Linked DNA regions of Mytilus edulis. The protein of the gene in region 1 purifies or fractionates together with the protein of each later gene. This does not show direct contact. Links are inferred from orthologs where the notes say so. Each region holds a gene or a part of one and is shown on either strand. Other genes may lie near its edges. The genes, in order: ribosome biogenesis protein wdr12-like and ribosome biogenesis protein bop1-like.

Evidence for each region.
Region 2: the proteins of ribosome biogenesis protein wdr12-like (region 1) and ribosome biogenesis protein bop1-like purify together in Homo sapiens (affinity purification with western blotting; 6 studies listed by BioGRID and IntAct, with this or other methods). This does not show direct contact. The link is inferred for Mytilus edulis from reciprocal best matches to the Homo sapiens genes WDR12 and BOP1.

What each region holds. Positions count from the first base shown.
Region 1 is NC_092345.1:84,387,141-84,397,128, forward strand, and holds the start of ribosome biogenesis protein wdr12-like, read left to right. Parts: upstream 1-5,101; 5' UTR 5,102-5,172; coding exon 5,173-5,228; intron 5,229-7,027; coding exon 7,028-7,113; intron 7,114-8,388; coding exon 8,389-8,492; intron 8,493-9,101; coding exon 9,102-9,208; intron 9,209-9,988.
Region 2 is NC_092348.1:8,560,898-8,571,243, forward strand, and holds the start of ribosome biogenesis protein bop1-like, read right to left. Parts: upstream 6,147-10,346; 5' UTR 6,132-6,146; coding exon 6,111-6,131; intron 5,779-6,110; exon of another isoform or gene 5,754-5,778; intron 5,712-5,753; exon of another isoform or gene 5,646-5,711; intron 5,520-5,645; exon of another isoform or gene 5,380-5,519; intron 4,676-5,379; coding exon 4,565-4,675; intron 3,703-4,564; coding exon 3,481-3,702; intron 2,904-3,480; coding exon 2,752-2,903; intron 1,673-2,751; coding exon 1,555-1,672; intron 1,285-1,554; coding exon 1,183-1,284; intron 1-1,182. Other genes in the region: inositol monophosphatase 1-like, read left to right, coding at 8,033-8,098, 9,796-9,929. UniProt on the Homo sapiens protein: Component of the PeBoW complex, which is required for maturation of 28S and 5.8S ribosomal RNAs and formation of the 60S ribosome.

The DNA.
Region 1 (9,988 bases):
GACTGAAGAATAGTTTAAAAGGAATGATGACAAGTTATAGAAATCAAGGTTGAGACAGAACAACAAATGACTATTATATTTATATATATGTATAAAAAAAAATCAGTGTCGAAATTTTAGTGAGGTTTCGCCGTTTCAGAATCTAATGCATTCTGGGTAATATTTTCAAAAGTGTACACCAAAGCGTGGTGATTGGTTTATAACGTCCCAAACAATTAAAATTCAGCCAATGACGTGACGTTATTTTCATTTTGGGGTACGAACAATGAAATTACCCATAGTGCTTTAGATTCTGAAATGGCCTCACTTGCCTCAAGGGTAGCTATACGGCCTTGCCCTTACCTGAGATAGTGGTGTAATAGTACAACATTATCATGAGAAAGAACTAAAAAAAAACAGTTGAATCAGACTAAAGGTAGATTCATGGTATACCACCATCTTGGATTGTACAATCGCAGTACACAATCGGTCCAGTTCTCTGCTATAATCTGCAAATTTTGAGTCAGATTTGCAATTAATTGGTTAGACTATTCATTTATATATTGAAAGACAAATTAGTGATTGATTGCATTGTCCAAGATGTTTAAACAAATATCAAATATTAGTGTCTTTTAGAATCAATTATTAAACTTAGCAATCTAAGAGGAGATAACTCTTTTTTGTAATAAAATAATACTGGACTGATTTACTTGAAAAATAGCACTGTGACCCATACTTTTTATTATATTTTTGCCAAAAAAGCATTGTAAAATCTTTATTTTTGCAAAGTCATGATAAGAAAATTATATCTAAGGAAATATATATACCAATGACATACCTTAACTCATCAGATGGATACAAATAGAAACCCATTTAGGCTTCTTTTTTATTGAAAATAAGGAAATAGAAATTCAACGAAAATACACTTCGCCATCCATTGAAAAGTCCTCTTTACTTACTGTGACATCATAAAATTTTATCTATATCAAAGACCATCAAAAAACAAAACATGAAGATGCCAAAAATGCACTTTCTAAAATTGAAACATTTTAAAATGCTTTGGGAGCAATCATTTGACTTTAAGGAAGGAGGGTTATGAATTTTTGTCTGAGCTAAAAAAAAACACGCACTTTTTGTTTTGTTTTTTTTTGTTTTACGCTATCTACCTTTTATTTTAATTTAATACTGTATTAAAGATATGAGGGAAACCTGGATTTAGAATATGTTTTGGTGCGTTATCTGCTTAGTTATTGAGGTACAAGTCCCCTTGTTGAATCCTTAACTCATCTAGGTGATAGTACTTGATTTCGAGATTTTTTCCTTGTTTGAACCAAACACATTCAATATATGTATTTATATAAAAAAAGAAGATGTGGTATGATTGCCAATGAGACAACTGTCCACAAGAGACCAAAATGACACAGACATTAACAACTATAGGTCACCGTACGGCCTTCAACAATGAGCAAGGCAAATTTATGTATGTATCAGCATTGGAATCTTTTTACAGATTTCTAAAAACTCGTACAGCTAGGATACCAGGCTTATGTGTTACTGTGGGCATCAGTTGTACTCATTGGATATCAGACTTGTCTCTTAATTGTTTTGAATACCATGTATGATCAATGTCATGAAGGGTTTCTCTGAATTTTATTTGTATGGTGAGTTTGATAACTTGATGAGATGGCCGTTGCGTACGCCCTTGTGATATTTTTGCTTTGAATAATTTTAAAACTGCATAGTTGCATGTGCTGTGGACGTTTAGCCAAGTGGGCTTGTTTTGAACAATTCTGATATGGATAGCAAAGGGTGAATGTCCTTTTTTTGAATTTACAAATTTGGGTTTCGCGTTTAAGCTCTCTGTAGGAATTTACAATGTGGGAACGATTATTACAGATACCGGTGGACAGCAAACGAGTTCGAAAAAAGACATGCACAAGGAGACGTGATTTATTAGAGACACATATCGTTTTGAGTATAATTGAAAATATAGAAAAGGACACTTATTGTTGGTTAAATTGGATTTATTGGGGTTAACATTAGATTGTTGGTGATTTGGATTTTCGCCTATCTCACGACCCCCTATAATGGGTATTCGAATATTGAAGGTTTTTTTCTTCTCAATATTGTCCCATATGTATTTCGATACAAAATTATCACCCATTTATATATTTCTCAGTAAGAGTTAGACATCCAGAGACATGTCACATGCTTGAGATCGTAGAGACATGTCACATATTTGAGATCATAGAGACATGTTACATGCTTGAGATCGTAATTGCATTTGTACAGACATTTTTCCATATGAAATACTACCTCAATAATGTATTTGACATATAAAAAGTTAACCATTCCAGCGACATGTCAGTGTGTTTTTAGTGTTTATATATAAAGTCCCCCTCCAAAAACAAAATAAGACAAAATAACAACTATGGAAACATACGATACAGCCGAAAAGGGCTGCCACTAAAAGTGCACAACCAAGGCTTCTATAAAAGAGTACGGAATCAATAGGTGTTGATAGGAATACATACACCATAGGAATACATACACCATAGGAATACATACACCATAGGAATACATACACCATCGGAATACATACACCATAGGAATACATACACCATCGGAATACATACACCATCGGAATACATACACCATAGGAATACATACACCATAGGAATACATACACCATAGGAATACATACACCATAGAAATACATACACCATAGGAATACATACACCATAGGAATACATACACCATAGGAATACAGACACCATAGGAATACATACACCATAGGAATACATACACCATCGGAATACATACACCATAGGAATACATGAATACACCATAAGAATACATACACCATAGGAATACATACACCATTCGACTGTCACAGTACCTGCTCTTTGGTCGGGTTGTTGTCTCTTTGACATTTGATATTCCCCATTTCCATTCTCAATTTTAACATATCGAAGTTCATTATTGTCGAAAACTAGTAATATATGTGTCAAAGAGAACATTTACAGTTTTACTGAATCGTATCGAAGTATTTCTACTAGCATGTTTAACCTTTTCCTTACAGAAAGATGCTTTATATTTATATGCAAGTTGCAGCAGATCGAGTCATATCATTTATTCAACAACAAAATCTATTGCCGAGATGATCTTCTATTTTTCAAAATCTATATGAGTATCAATTTTGTATTCATGCTGGGACCAAAGATTTGTATACTATAGAAGCTTTACGATACAATTCCTGCTGAAACTAAAAGGCCTACAGTGAATTATTACTTTTTCTGGAGAAAAAAAATGAAATGAAAATTCGATGAAATTGCATCAAGGCATCTTATGAAAAGTATATAAAAATTATTTAAGGCGGATCCCTACAGATATAGCAAATTTTTTTTCACCATTGAATTTTTCTTAAAATTTGCATACATATACTATGCAATGGCCTCTATGAAAATTTGAGTTAAAAATAGTATGTCACCAGACTCGTTTCCATGGTAACGGTCACCAAAGTTGGCACATCACGTGTATGCATAAATACATACCTGATGTAGAAACTCTGGATTTTTTTTTAAGCCTTTGAAAGTATTTTGAAAGGTTTGTTCTTCATTTATTACAAAATTATTATTTAAAATGTAAATAAAACACAAATAATGGCAGTTTTATTCATTTTCATTGATTTCGGCTCTAATTTCATCAACACTGCTCCACAAAAAAAACACAGATTTTGTTAAAAATTTCTATTTTTCTTAAATTTCCAAAAAAATGGTCCAATGAATATTTTTTTAAATTTGACATAAGATGGTCATAACAATGAGCTTTAAAAAGAAATAAAAAAAAATATGGGTCACCAGACTATTTTTTGCCCGAAAAACGTTTTTGTGACCCCTAACGAAACAGTGATCAACAGCAGTTTTTTTATATCTTTCATCATCGGTGTGACATATGTTGTCATATCCTTTGTTAAACTAACACAGAATAATACAGTTTCACAAGGCAATCAAATGAGAACAATTTTTTGGTTTCTATGAACAACGGTTACCATGGCAACAGGACATGAAGTTGGAAAATTCAAGTTTTTGCATTGTTCTGATGTGCAAGATTAACAACCTAACAGACAAGATATTGTATAAAAAAAAGAGAAAATGTAAAAACTTTATTCTAAAGTAGAGCAAGGATTTGTATAGTATCACTATACAAATCCTTGCGTAGAGTATAACTTGATTGTTATAGAAATCTCAGGTACAAATAATTTTAAAAAGAACTACAAAATTCAATTTTCAATTTTATAGAGTGGGGTGCCCATATTCGCCGGGGACACAATTTCACCGTTATATGATTTTGGGGTGTAAAAACTTCAAAGGATGGCTGAAATGAAGAAATATGCCGGTGAATTATATTTTTATAACAAACATGATTATTTTTTAATCTGAGACAAAATTTTGGCAATTACCGCAAAGGACCGAAAAATAGACAACGATTTTCGGCTGATTTCCTGAATGAAAAACATGGTTTCAAAGAAGCATTTCAAAGTAATTCTTTGACTTGATTGCCCTAAATTTCAGTTCATTACACCTTTGAAATGTCTGCTATTCATCTATAATGACATTGATTTGATAAACATTGTTTAAAGTTATTTGGTTTTAAATAGATGTGTAAAAACGGCGAATATGTGTCCCCCATCGACAAAACATCAAGAAATTTCAAACACCCTTTAGTCTCACTTTTAAGATGATTATTTTCAAACAAACACGTTTTCAAGCTTAAAAATATTTTGCATTGGAAGTAATCTTCATATAGAAATATCAGTTTACTTCAAAAACATATAGACCGGAACATAAACTGTAGAAAACATCGAAAGATATGGCGAAAATGAGCACCCCACTCTACAAATAATTTTAAAAAGAACTACAAAATTCAATTTTCAATTTTAATAAAATTGAAAATTGAATTTTGTAGTTCTTTTTAAAATTATTTGTACCTGAGATTTCTAACAACCAAGTATTTATATAGTGAACACATATATAAGATCGTATAACCAGAGACATACAACAGTAATCACAGGTTGTACGAAATTTTATCATTTATTTTGAGGAAAGACGGTAATAATACCACTCGTTCGGAACTTCTCTGACGTTATTAGTTTATGAAAGATTTCCGACTATCTCCCCACATGTTGATAAAATGGAAACAAACAACATACCACATGTCCAAGCCAGATTCTTTACAAAACAACCTCAGTAATATGTTTAATCAATTTATTAGTTAAAATTATTTTCCTAATGTCAAACCTAAAGAGGGTGTACTCCAGAAGTACCCGTTTAAAACCGATAATTCGATTGATTTTCCAAGCTCAGCATCAAGATAAGTCAGATATTAGTCAAACAAATTTATTTTCTTCTTTATAACTGTTAGGATGCCAAGAAAATATCATCACAATTTCTCAGGAGAGTTTTTCCCTGAACAACACCTATCAGCAAGGGCAGTTCTTTCAGAAAGCAGAAATCAGAAACTCATTTTAATTTATGCTCCTTTCAAGAGCATACATAGAAACTCCCCTTGAAATATGTTTTTAATTTACAGAGGGTTCCCAAAAATAGAGCATTGCACCATTTGAAAATTGCATTTTACTTTGATTTTAAGCTTAGAATACTAGAAAAGAAGGTTAAAAGGAAGGACTGTTTGCAATGTATCTTGGGTACATCGAATGGCATTAGTTCCCCCTTTAATAACATAAATAAAGTCCCATGGAAATTATGCATTAAAATCTTCATTGTAATGTGTAGTATGAAAAAAATGCCGACAAGATTCCAGAGACAACAGTTTGGGGTATTGTGTCATTTTAACTAGATATATTGCACATTTGACCTCAAAATTTTCTTTGATATCTTGGATTTCCAATTTAATTCAAGATAATACTAGATTTATTTCACTTGACTGGGCGGGGTTTAAGAAGTTTGCTCATTTAAGACCAGTCCATCTATGGACAGGAGTTTTGGGACTCATCAATGAAGTGTCCAGTTATTTTTCGCATACCACACACTCAGTTCTTTAGTACAAAATGTATATGTGTTTGATGACACTGATAGGTGATTAGAATTCAATACTAATTATAACGGCAATCATCCTTATCACACACATCTTTAAATAGATTGTCCTTATGCAAATTAAAACATAAGCTCCGCCTGATCAGTTGAAATAACATTGGTAAAACAACTTACCGGTAATGAAGATCATGTTTTTTGTTGGCTCTTACAGTTTTATGATTTTTAGAACCAAGATAATGTCTGAAAGATCTGGACCTAGATTTGTTTTTTTAACAATATTGTTTTATAAATGTTTTATGAGTTGAAATACCAGAGATAATCGGTTGATAACTATTTTCCTGAACAACAACAATTAAACATTGTACTAGTGTAAGAAGTCACATACCTGCCAACTTTTCAAAATGACCATGGGGTTTTTGCGTGCAAGGTGGCTCATATAGTCCTACAAAACCTTCAAGGGGGCCTTCAAATACATTTTGATGTTGGTTTTGGGCTTTTGCATACTTTTAAAAGCCTTTAGCTATTGTAAAAGTCATTGTTTTGTTTAAAATTGTTAACAAATTTGCTCTTTCAAAATTTCCATTTGGGAGCTTCCATGGGGGAAATCCCCCACAAATAGTGACAGTTGGCAGGAAAACCCTTCTAAGTTGAGAAGCTTGAGATGGAGAATTTTTAACTAAGAGATAAAAAAATTGAAAAATAGAGATACATTAAACTTAGCATAAGATGTGAACTTTTTATTTGTTTTCTTTGTTGATTACTACATGTACCAGTGTTTATCTATTGGTAATCAGTGTTTTATATTTATCAGGATTTACATGTTATTTCTTTTTCTTTGTCAGCAGATAGTAAAATCATTAAAGAAAGAATGTACCATAATATTTAGTCAACAGTATTGTTGCATTAAATTATTAGTCGCTGAATGAAAAAAGTCAGAATAAACCAACAAAGAAATCCATTTCCACTTCATTTTGAATTTTAATATTTTTTAGGTTTTCAGTTCCATCTGCACCATTTTCAGTTCAAGCACAAGTTGGAACATGTGACCTGAGTTCATTAATAAACAGTCTATTGAATGGTTTGTATGCTTTTCAACCTTAAAATATAGAGCATAGTTGATCTTTAAAAGGAGTAAAGTAAATTCTGATGAAAAAGTTTAAAAGTGCTTAATATAATTTTTTTTGTTTTGCTTCTAAGTTAGTGCAGAAAAAATATTTGTATTGAATAAGAAGAGCAGCTAAATTGAGAGTATGTTAACATTGAATATGTGCATGTATGTAACATAGATTCTAATGCAATTTGGATGTTACAATTTTTTTCATTGGCTAAAAATTGCCGTCAAATCCACAGTTGACCAGGCGTAACTAAGGAGGGACCGCCATTTTGAATTGATTGAATCAACAAATGTTCGTTTACTTCTATATAATCGAAAATAAAAACAACACCTACCTCGAATTTGCCGTTTTAATGTAATTTTATCCGAATTTGAAGCGTACAGGTAATGTAATAAACTCCAGTTTGAAAGTTTTTATTTATACGATGCACGTTAAGCCATGACGTCTTTGTGCCAAAATCATTCATGAAGTTTCGCAGATTTTTTTCTTTTTGTCAAATTTAGACATTTTGTCAAGTTTTATTGTATTTTTTTCTTTTTGTAATGCATTAGAATCGGAATAACAGTACTGTAGTTGAAGAGTTGCCACCGTCAATTTTGATTTGACGGTCGCAAATCTCCGTTTTACTGTCTCCGCTACGCGTCGCCAGTAAAACTGCATTTGCGACCATCAAATCTACAATTGACGGTGGCAACTCTTCAACTACAGTACTGTTATTCCTTAAATCTACCTTCATTTAAATATATCCTGTAACTTTGATAATCACAAAATAAAATTGCATGGAAGTGGTCTGAAAGGGCTGAATTCGAAATAAAGTATCTGGGAAAATAAGTTGGTTTACAGTATAATAATATTATATAACTTGAGTTGATATCAAGCCATATCCAGTTCTCAATTGTTATAAGACCTTTAAGGTACCCAACACCTTTACTAAAATTAATTTGACTCGTTTAATTTTCATAAAATTTTGACAAAGTATTTACTTTGACCCTTTAACAAAAATATAAAAATTTCAAAATATTTGAACCAAACGTTTTATCAGGAAAATTACACTGGTTATATAGCAGTTTGACAAACACACATTTTGATCATTGAGAAGCTTAATATTCCCTTAACAACACAACGTAATTAAAACGTTTAGCTGATTCTACAGAGTTATCTCCCTGTAGTGTTAGGTACCACCTTAATTAAATTATTTTTTAATTAAATAATTTTGTATTGATCGTTTTCAATTTCAGAGGGCGATGGTGAGAAGACAAATGTTGATTTTGATTTTTTAATTGATGGAGAATTTCTGCGACTAAACTTAGATAAGCATCTAGAAAACAAAGGCATATCAACAGTAAGTGTTTTTAAGACATTTTAGTACAAGTACAGAATGAGTGCCACTGGTCCAGGTTTATATATCTATTAAATGCCTTTTAAAGAAAAATATACGTACACTTCAGGCTCAAACAATCATAAAATTGGTTTATGTTCATTGTTCACTTTGGAAATAGACGACTGATTGAGATCAAAAGACAATTTGAATAAATCTTTGATTATTGTTGAATTAATAATATTGACTATGATGGAGAAAATGCTAAATAAGTTTTTTGTTTTCTGCTGAGAACCTGTCTGTACAGGAATTTTTACCTAGAAATCAACACAACAAAACAGATTAAATTTGACAAATACCAGAGCTGACCATAAGGTGTTTTTATATAGAAATTGGATCCTCTGTTTTATAAACTGACATGTATTGGATATGGGGAACAAGGTGCTACACTATTGGTTATTGCTGTATCCATTTTAATGTGTTTTGATTACTAAATAATGTTTTCTGATAAAAATCCTTTCTATAAATAATTGTTTTTAAAAAAAAATATCACAACTCATTCATGGTGATTTTTGGCTTATATTCACACACATATACATCCCTTTTAAAACAATTTATTATTTCTATATTAAGGAGTCATTGGTTGATATAGAATACATTGAAAAACAACAAGCTCCAGAACCAGAAGACTCACTAGTACATGATGACTGGGTCAGTTGTATACAGGGCTGTAAAGATTGGTAAGTATAAATGTAACCATGGAAATACAACAGTGTCTATGGTAAGGTATCAGGACTGTTAATCTTTGAGGAATTCCTGCTTCCTGCCTACTGAAGGCCAACTAAACCAATAAAAAAAAAATCCTGTTTCAACTTTTCAAATAAATAAAACTTGAAAAAAAATCTGAATTCTCAGTATTTGGCCATCCACATAGCAAGGGTTAAGAAGATTGAAAAATGAGATCAGTATTGTATTGCATGTGAAATTTAAATGGTTCTGTTTTATTTAGTTGCACATTTTGCTATACTGTGAAAGTACTTTAATTCGTGGGTATCAATTTTCGTGGTTTGAGGAACATTTACGTGGGTTTTTAAATTTGTGGATTTAAGTTTTCTATGAAAAAAAAATTTGTAAAATTGAAGCCATTAGAAACAAAGGTTACAAGTTGTCTGGATTGAAGGAAATGCAAAGTAAACATTGACCTGTCTAAATTGTTGTGACCCGGCACACTAATTAATCCTAGATAGAGTGATCAACAGATTAAAGATCAAATTAAAGGTGTTGATTAGGTCATTACCATGTCAGCTAAAGAAAACAATTACATAAACAAATGCTTTAAGCGTATCTTGAATTGTAAAATATTTTTTATCAAAAGCCAGCCCAGCATGAAATTTTTATTTCCTGTATGTACGAGAGTTATGAGTAATCATAGCATAACAAAACCAGAAATCTGTCTTTCATCGATCAAAATATTGTTTTATTTGATTTAAAAGATAAAAAATTGTACAGTTAAGGTTTTA
Region 2 (10,346 bases), on another chromosome or scaffold:
GATTCTAATATCATTGTCATGGATACCATTTTTGTGAAATGAGGAAAATAAGCATTTCATGGATATTTGATTTGTTGTAATTTGCCAAAGTCTGCATAGAAAATGGATAGTTCCTTGATTTGTCTCCCCTAGAATAGTCATGAATCCACGTTCCTTGATTTGTCCCCCTAGAAAAGTAATGAATCCACGTTCCTTGATTTGTCCCCCTAGAATAGTAATGAATCCACGTTCCTTGATTTGTCCCCCTAGAATAGTAATGAATCCACGTTCCTTGATTTGTCCCCCTAGAATAGTAATGAATCCACGTTCCTTGATTTGTCCCCCTAGAATAGTAATGAATCCACGTTCCTTGATTTGTCTCCCTAGAATAGTAATGAATCCACGTTCCTTGATTTGTCCCCCTAGAATAGTAATGAATCCACGTTCCTTGATTTGTCCCCCTAGAATAGTAATGAATCCACGTTCCTTGATTTGTCCCCCTAGAATAGTAATAAATCCACGTTCCTTGATTTGTCCCCTAGAATAGTAATGAATCCACGTTCCTTGATTCGTACCCCTAGAATAGTAATGAATCCACGTTCCTTGATTTTTGTCCCCCTAGAATAGTAATGAATCCACGTTCCTTGATTTGTACCCCTAGAATAGTAATGAATCCACTTTCCTTGATTTGTCCCCCAGAATAGTAATGAATCCACGTTCCTTGATTTGTCCCCCTAGAATAGTAATGAATCCACGTTCCTTGATTTGTACCCCTAGAATAGTAATGAATCCACGTTCCTTGATTTGTCCCCCTAGAATAGTAATGAATCCACGTTCCTTGATTTGTACCCCTAGAATAGTAATGAATCCACGTTCCTTGATTTGTACCCCTAGAATAGTAATGAATCCACAGTAATCAGAAAAACATGACTCATGAAAGTGATTAATGCTAAAATATATATGTATGACATACATGGTATGTAGGTATGATATAACTGGTAAACATCTATTAAATGCTTTCAATAATACTTTAATTCAAAGTAAGAGTTGTTTCATAATCTAAAGTTTTGAAAGATTGGAAGGAAACTCTTGAAACTAGAATCACACAAAATATAAAATGTTGAAAATTCCACATGAATCTTGAAGATCTAACATGATGATCATGCATGACTTACCTATTGTTTACTGTTAGTTTATAGTTACCTTTAATTTTTCCCACTTCGATGGAATAAAACTTCTTTTGTCAGCTGGTCTGTTGGTAACAGGATGTATCATTGTCTCATGTGTAAAGAAGTCAATCCATGGCTAAAAAAGAAAAAGTGTATTTCAGTTGTCCATCAAACAAGGTAAACGTATTGACCAATAAGAGAAAAAAAAAATGTTTAGAAATAAATGATTACATCCATTCAAACTAGATACAATCAATCTATTTGTATGTAAGGTTAGGATTTTGTTTTCATTTTCATTCTTTTGCTTTTAAGTTTGTGTTTTCCCCCTTGTTTTTCAACAATTTAATAATTTAAATACATCACAAACTCTGAAATCAGGTGGCCTTCTTTCTCTTGATATTTATACCTCATATGTTTCCTTTGCTCCTCCAGGTGTCCTCTGTAACATGAGACCTTCTATCAGACTGACATCTTCCTTGGTCAGTAATACATTTTGTCCCGTCATTTTGTTTGTCACTGTTCTCCTAGGGTTAAAATTATATTGGATTATATATTAGTTTTATCAACATATTCTAAATATTTGATGTGTACAAGTTTACTATAACTATAACTATAAGCAAAAGTTTACATCTGCTGAAAACATTTCAATGCATGGCATTTGTTATCAAAACTAAACATCATATACATGTAATTCCCTACAGAACTAATTTGAGGGTTCATATTAAGTTATCTCCCCTTAATGGTTGTCAACCTCGCTGTTCACATTAAATGCAGGCCCAGTGTTGATCTATTTTTTTCTCTATTCCTTTAGAGAAATATAGAAAAAGCTTGATATAACTTTTTTCTTTTTTTATAAAGATAAACATCAATAGTTGTCACCTTCAGCTTTTAAATTCATACTGAAGAAAACATATAAGAGGGTGGTAAAGGGGGGTACTGAACACGGAAACACGTGAAATAAAAATCGCAAAAACGTAGCACGAAAAATAAAAATCGGGAAAAATGAAGCACGAGAAATAAAATCGTAAATATTAAGAAAAAAAGTACCAGCAGTTATTACTCAGCCGTTCATTGTTAATGGACATAAAGACCTTGTGGTCACTTTTTAGGCTAGCCTATGCTACTTGCATCTGATTTGAAAAAAAAAATTATTATGATGGACTCTATTACATGTATAGCATACATATACAATAGAAAGTAGAATGGTAACAATATACATCAATTTCCATTATATTACACGTCAAGTTTCAAAAGGTACTATAACTCACTGACTTTGAGTTAGTTCCAATTTACTTTTTAATAAAATGAGGAACAATGCAAGAACGAGAAATTAAGAGCACCGACACGAAACACGGAAAATAAATAAGGGGAAATACGAAGCACGCACATCGAACTAAGCACGAGAAAACGAGAAATAAAACACAAAAACACGAAAACACGTGAAATAAAAAGGCCGAAAACGTTGCACGAAAATAACCCTTTACCACCCTCATATAAATTTTACAGAAATAGGTACATTCCAATCTCTCCAGATCTCTTCTACATTGAATGAGAAAAAAACCATACACATCAATCTACTTTTAATGAACATGTTAATACAAACCAATAATCTGGATTATCCATTCTCTGTAGAAACTCATCCAGTTCATCTCCTTTTTTGGGTTTGATTAACTTTCTTCCCTCTACATCATAACCTATATGTGGATAGTCCCTATACCATTCCATTGGAATGTTACCCACGGTGTTACGGATATCCTGAAATATACAGCAAAAGTAAGTTTTTTTTTTCTAAACTCTAACTTATTTGTTAATCAACAAAGCACAAATTTTTTTGGTTTAAATTATTATGAACTTTATTGTACAATTTACATGTTGACATATGGTGTAGACACCTGTATTGTGAAGACTACATGTTTTCCTCTTGACATATGGTGTATACACCTGTATTGTGAAGACTACATGTTTTCCTCTTGACATATGGTGTAGACACCTGTATTGTGAAGACTACATGTTTTCCTCTTGACATATGGTGTAGACACCTGTATTGTGAAGACTACATGTTTTCCTCAATACGTCTTGGATCACTGAGTAGCAGGGTTGCTGTCTCCTTTGGGTATAAACAACATCTTCATTTATCTATGAGAATATTCAACTGCATGATCACCTATTGTGTTTTGCTATCGTAAATATTGATAAATAAGTAGAAATAAGAATACTTTCCATTAAACAAACAATTATTTATATACTAATGATGTACAAGAAATCATTTAACCAATCAAATAAGATGATAACATTAATACTTAAAATACTTTCCACCAATCAAAACACTTACCTCTTCATCAGAAGAATCATGATAGTATTCGTCTTCCACTGTTTGAGATGTTGTTCGTGTATTATTTTTATCATTATATTTATTTTTAGCTGCCACATTAACAGTGTTTGTATCTTCTTCGTTCACATCTTTGTCTTCTGTATCATTGTCAATAACATTTTCTTTGTCACTTTCACTATTATCCCCATTCTCACTGTCTGATTTGTCATCGTTCTTTACTTCCTATTGAAAAATTATTTATTAAGTTACAAATCTATATCAGCAATTTTACATTTCAACCATTGTAAATAAAATTGAGAAAAACATATTTTTCATGTTTGTGAAACATTGATTTTTGTTGTGTCTTTCATTCTTTATGAACCTGTATTATTATTTGATGGCATTTATTTATAACCTGCATACCTGAACATAATTTGTTTGCGTATGTAGGTATTTTTTTTAATGAGAGCTCGTAAGCCAATTATTGTGGTCAGACCATACTGATGGTAACTTGATTTTCAATATCTGTTTGAAGTTTTTCCTCAATCACAATACACAACAGGTCAATAATATTTGATATGTGGTTTTGTAGTTGTTTTGAGTAAGAATTTAACAATATTATGCATGTTCTGTATACATGTTTGACAAATATCTTAAACTGTTATTTGACATTAATGAAAATGCATGCCTAAACTTTTTATGACCTAGAACCTTAACTGATGCATTGTCCTCTCTAGCCCAATATAGAGGTGTACAATGCCTGGCTCATTTAAAATGTCCTTTTGTCAATGATTCATGTTGATAAAACTATATCCTTTAGTCTGAAACATTCAAATCTTTGATACTTTTAACAAATTAAAGAGATATGAATTTCAATTCTTTAATACCCTAAACAGGTAGAAGAGATAATTCCTCGATACTGTAAACATGTAGAAGAGATATGACAATCAATTCTTCAATACTCTAAACTGTAAACACATGGAAGACTAAGAGATATGACATTCAATTCTTGATACTCTGAACACGTAGAGGAAATAGTTCCTCGATACTGTAAAGATGTAGAAGAGATATGACATTCAATGTATATAAAGGTAGATATCTATACCTCATCATCTGATGTGTCTGGTTCTTCTTCTAGTCCTGAATAAACACTTTCTTCTGAATCTGTTGTGTCACCATCTGATTCACTGGCTGATTTGTCATGAAACAAATCCATCTACAAGAAATAATTGGTTTTAATAAATATAAGACACTGGCTGTCATAATATTATGAATATAAATCCATATTAATAACATTGATAATGATCCCCAAATTTTCACAAATTTCATATGTGATAACTATTGGCTAAAATTGTCATGATCAAAACAGACCTATGGTTTAAATGTGACTTGGACGGAGAGAAGTCTCATTGGCACTCATACCACATCTTCCTATATCTATATACAAGTAAATATGAAAAAAAGACTAAAATCAACACTGACCCTGTGACTCTATTCATGGCCCCTGGGCCCTCAGCAGCAGAATGTAAAAAAGGACCAATTAGGTAACATCATAAGTATATCAAACAAACAAGGGGTCTGTTTGTATAACTTTGTGAACAAGAAAGAGACAGAAAAGTATCAGCCATGACCGGTAATCAATAAAAAATAAGTGTGTAAAACTAGTCCAACATGTGCAGATGTGTATGGGTGCATCACTGTCAGTTAGCTACATTACAAAACATGAGTAAAGGATCTTTAACACTTTAATATGTGTTTAAAAGATATGCCTTCCTCTTCATACACTTTTTTTAATCAATAATCAGACTCTTCAATAATTTTCTAAGTCTCATGACATGATGAATGGTCTGTAACACAAATTACTTGATATTTTTACGAAATCTAAAATTTGAGATGTCTGTAAATATGTATTTCCATTACCTTTAAATATTTTTACAGGATATGAGTCCTAAAGCCACAATATGACAAAGTATAGTCTAATACAAGCTGATAAAAAGTACAATCTTTTTCGATGTTTACATCTCATAACCGGAAACACGCTACATGCAAAAACAAATGATATCTTTGAAATAATTTTCATGTCTTTCATCGATGAATATTCTCAGATGATAGGAATATAGGGATATATTGAAAAACAAAAAAATAATTACATATATTTTAAAGACCTTTGTTATTCTTAAAACCAGAATACAGTATTATCATTTACATGGGTCTTATTTACCAAGGGAGAACACTCGGTAACACACACACCGGTAAGTAAGAAAAACGTTTTTTATTAATCTTTATCTAGTCAGTCGAGTGGTTGTTAACTGGTTAAAAGTATTGTTTGGTTTAGTTAAAGGCTGTGATCCCTCACCCCATAAAAAAAACAAAAAATTGGATAAAAAATAAATGAATAAACAAACAGCAAGAAAGTCAAAATAGCACAAAAAAATTATAAATTTAAATGAATGTAAGAATGCCCTTCCGTCAGACGATAAATTTTCATTTCGGCTACTGTTAGCGTTAAATTTGTTAAAAATTTCACTGTGTCTCGCCAAAATTGTGATTCGTCAAAGGTTTCAAATTATTATTGTGAGTACTCAAAATCAGTTTATTTCTTGATCGTCTTTGAGAAAGTGTAATTTTTATCGTCATGCACTAAAAATTACCGTTAGCGTTACGACCCTCATTTATAAATTTAGACTTATCAAGTTGAGCATAAATAATTCCTAGTAGGGTTCTACATCTCTGTGAAGAATAGGGCTCTTCACAGTTAGTTTGGCCATATTGGATAGAGGGCAGATTTTCATAATAGAGGTAAAAATAGTGTGAAAATACGGGAAAACATCATTAAAACAGAGCAGATGCTTGATAGCACACATAGGATTTCCCATACTTTCATACTATTCCCACCTCTTTCTAAAAAATCTGCCCCCTATCCAATATATGAATATGGCCTAACTAACCGTGAAGAGCCCTATAATTTGAAATGAGTGTCTGAAGATCAAAGGTGTTCATAGAGTAACCAATCGGAATAAAGAAATAGAAAACCCAGGATGTAAATACTTATGTGAACCATCATACTGTACATGCTGTATACTCTGTCAGAGTCAGTCAATAAGTCAGTACATGAACAAATATATACAAATACTATTTATAAAATTAAATTATCAATTAATATAAAAAAAGAAGATGTGGTATGATTGCCAATGAGACAAGTGTCCACACGAGAACAAAATGACACAGACATTAACACCTATATGTCACCGTACAGCCTTCAACAATGAGCAAAGCCCATACCGCATAGTCAGCTATAAAAGGCCCGATATGACAATGTAAAACAATTTAAACGAGAAAACTAACGGCCTTATTTATATAAAAAATGAACGAAAAACAAATATTTAACACATAAACAAACGACAACCACTAAAATACAGCCTACAGGCTCCTGACTTGGGACAGGCACATACACAAATAATGTGGCAGGGTTAAACATGTTAGTGGGATCCCATCCCTCCCCCTAACCTGGGACAGTGGTATAACAGTACAACATAAGAACGAACTATAAAAATCAGTTGAAAAAGGCTTAACTCATCAGATGGACAAACATACAAGTGGACGTGGCCGGGTACTTGTACATCCCGACAACAAAAAGACACTAGGAACAGATCTGAGAGTACTTGCAGTTATCTGACAGCTAGTTCAAAGCCACTAACAACTAATAAAAAAAAATCATGCATCTAAGCTGTACTACATAAATATAAATTTATTAAATATGAGTAAATCATCCTTAATACGGATAATTCAGCATGTGCTATACTGATGACGTTTTCCTGTCGATATAAATCAGGAGTTAATATTGCTTTTCAGACAGGTATAGTAGTGGGAGTCAGAAAGTGACCACTCTCCATCTGAGTCACAATTTGTAAAAGTTAACCTTTATAGGTCAAAGTACAACCTTCAACATGGAGACTTGGCTCACACAGAACAGCAAGCTGTGAGGGACCCCAAAAATAACTAGTGTAAAAAAAATTAAACCATTCAAACAGGAAAACCGATAGTCTAATCTACATGCATATAAAATGAAAAACAAGAAAAACACTTATGAACCACATCAACAAACAACAACCACTGAACATCAGGTTCTTTACTAGCCAGGTGCAAACAAATGCAGTGGGTTTAAATGTTTTTATAGGGAGCCAACCTTCACCCTAACCTTGTGTATTTATTTATAGTACTATCCAACATGTGTCCAAGGTTGCACTAGCCTTTTAAAAAAAATGGATAAATGAACATATCAGTTTAGCATGTTTAGTTTTGATTGCAACACTCAGCATTGTTTTACTGGATGAACTTTCCTCCATGGTTCATCTTTCATTTATGGAGCTCCATATGTACTAGTAAACTTTCCAACAAGGAAAATAATTTGTATTCAGTATTGTAATTTAAAAACTAGTTTCAGACATATAGAAGTGAGATACATGTACAATGATGTCAAGAAGCCAAAATTGTGTGGAGATACATCATTAATCATGTTAATATGCAATACAACTGACTTAAAAAAAATTGTATATTTTTTTTATTGTAGAATATGTCTACTGCTGAACTTCAAGATTATTTAAAGACAGCTACAGGAGTAGCCAAGGAGGCAGGGGAGGTAATTATGAACTTAAGCAATGTCATTGATAATTTATATTCACATTTTTTTATTTGGATTATAAACCAATAATGAATTTAAAAACTTATTTATAAGGTACATATAAAAATAAATTACAAAAATTTCCTACAGGTACTGAATTTTTTTATAAGTTAATTTTTTGTTTTGCAAATTTTCAGTATGTTGGAATGATGTTGAAGTGATGGCACAGTCTTCAACCTGACCCAAATGCACAAATGAATATTATATTCTCCAATATGTTTACAATTTAAGGTGATTGTTGTGTTGAAATGATACATTTTGGTCTTACAATATACGCTGCATTGTTATTTATCTTTTCTCAGGCAAAATATTCCAATTGAACACACTTAAACACTCTTTAAAGTTATATATACATGTATGTAGTTGAATAGAAAGAATAGGCTACCCCCTTTGCAGAGATGCAAACAGTTTTTTTTTCCTGTCAGACATTGGGGCCTACAGGGTACGAAGTTTTGCCAGACCCATCACATTTCTGCCAGACCTATATTTTCACTCAAAATAATCTATGTAAAAACTTTGTAATATGTCTATAAATAACAATGAAATGTAACTGTTTCCTGTTAAGGGGTTTCCCGAATTTTCCCGCTAAAAAGCACATGGCTTTCAACAATTGTAAACAAAGCATTCAATTTTTGATCATGGATTACAGCTTTAATTAATTGAATTTGGATATAGATATTCAACTTAAGGTACAGTCAGGCAATGTTTTTACTTTTTTCTGGATTAAAACTAATTTGAAAGAAAAGTTTAAAAAATAAAATATATTGTGAATATTCAGTGACCCATAGATTTTTTGAACTCTGCTACGGAGGTTAAAGTTACGTCATTTTTCAAACCAATGGTGTGTATTCTCTGTTAAATAACTGCGTTTGATATAAATATTTCAATAAATTAACAATGTCAAACATACGATTTCAAAACTGAAATTTATACTGCAAAAGGTTTTATTTTTATTTTTTAAGGAAGGATATTTGGAAGGTGTCCGGCTATAATAGTTATCATTAAAACAGTTTGAACTCCCGATTTCTATTATGTAATCGAAGCCTTGAATGTTGTTCTATCTAATCATGCAACGTGGTTGTAAATTCACAATTTTATAAACAAAATACTCTGCCAGGACCGACCGGGGAATTAAGTTTTGGCTGACCCAAGCAGACTAAAATATTGACGGCCATCAGGTCCTGCACAGCAACGAGTTTTGCCGGACCTGCATAAATTCTGCCCCTTAGGTCTGACAGGTCCGACGATTAGTTGCATCTCTGCCTTTGACAAATAGGGAAAAACAGAAAAATGAAATGAATGTTACTTGAAGAAAAATGGTATAAGGTTATAGAAAAATAAAATAAGATAAAAATAGAAAGACAAAAAAAAACAAAGTATACTAAAAAAAAACACCTAAAAAACCCATGCTAAATGTTTAAAATGAATATTACCAGTAAAGTTAGTCATTAAACTGTCATTTGAATTCTGGTATTAAGGGTCATTGGCTATTGACATGACCTGTTTGGATTGATATTCATATCAGTATACATGTATATCTCATTATTTAGTTGGACAAGGCTTGTTGTATTTTAAACATTAAGATTGATAATAAATGGGTATGACTCAATGATCGGACATTCTTTGTCAGAAATTACCCAAAATTTATATTCCAGGTAGTTAGAGAGGCCTTTTACAAAGAGAAATCCTTACAGACCAAAAGTAATTATGCTGACCTAGTGACAGAAACAGATCAGGCCGTAGAGAAACAGATAATTAACTCATTGAAAGAAAAATATCCAACTCACAAGTAAGGATAATAATCATTATGAGGCGACATATCTCAGTTTTACATTAGAAGTATGAAGTCCCATGTCACATTTGCTTTTAACACACACAAATACATTACTATATGGATTCATTAATTTTCGTGGGTACCAATTTTCATGGATTTAGGAAAATTTTCATTTTGCTGGATATTTGATTTCGTGGTTTTGCCAAAGCCTGCATACATTTCTATATAACATTTGTAATTCATTCCTCAATGAAATTCGTGGTTCCCAGGTTATGATTAAATCCATGAAAATTGGTATCCAATGAATAATAATGAATCAAAAATAGTCTGCACTGTTAGCCACTAGTCTGATGGATGTTCCGGATCCAGACAAGTAAAATTTTATTCGGACAAGTAAATATTTGCAGAACTTTCTAATGACACATAAGGAAA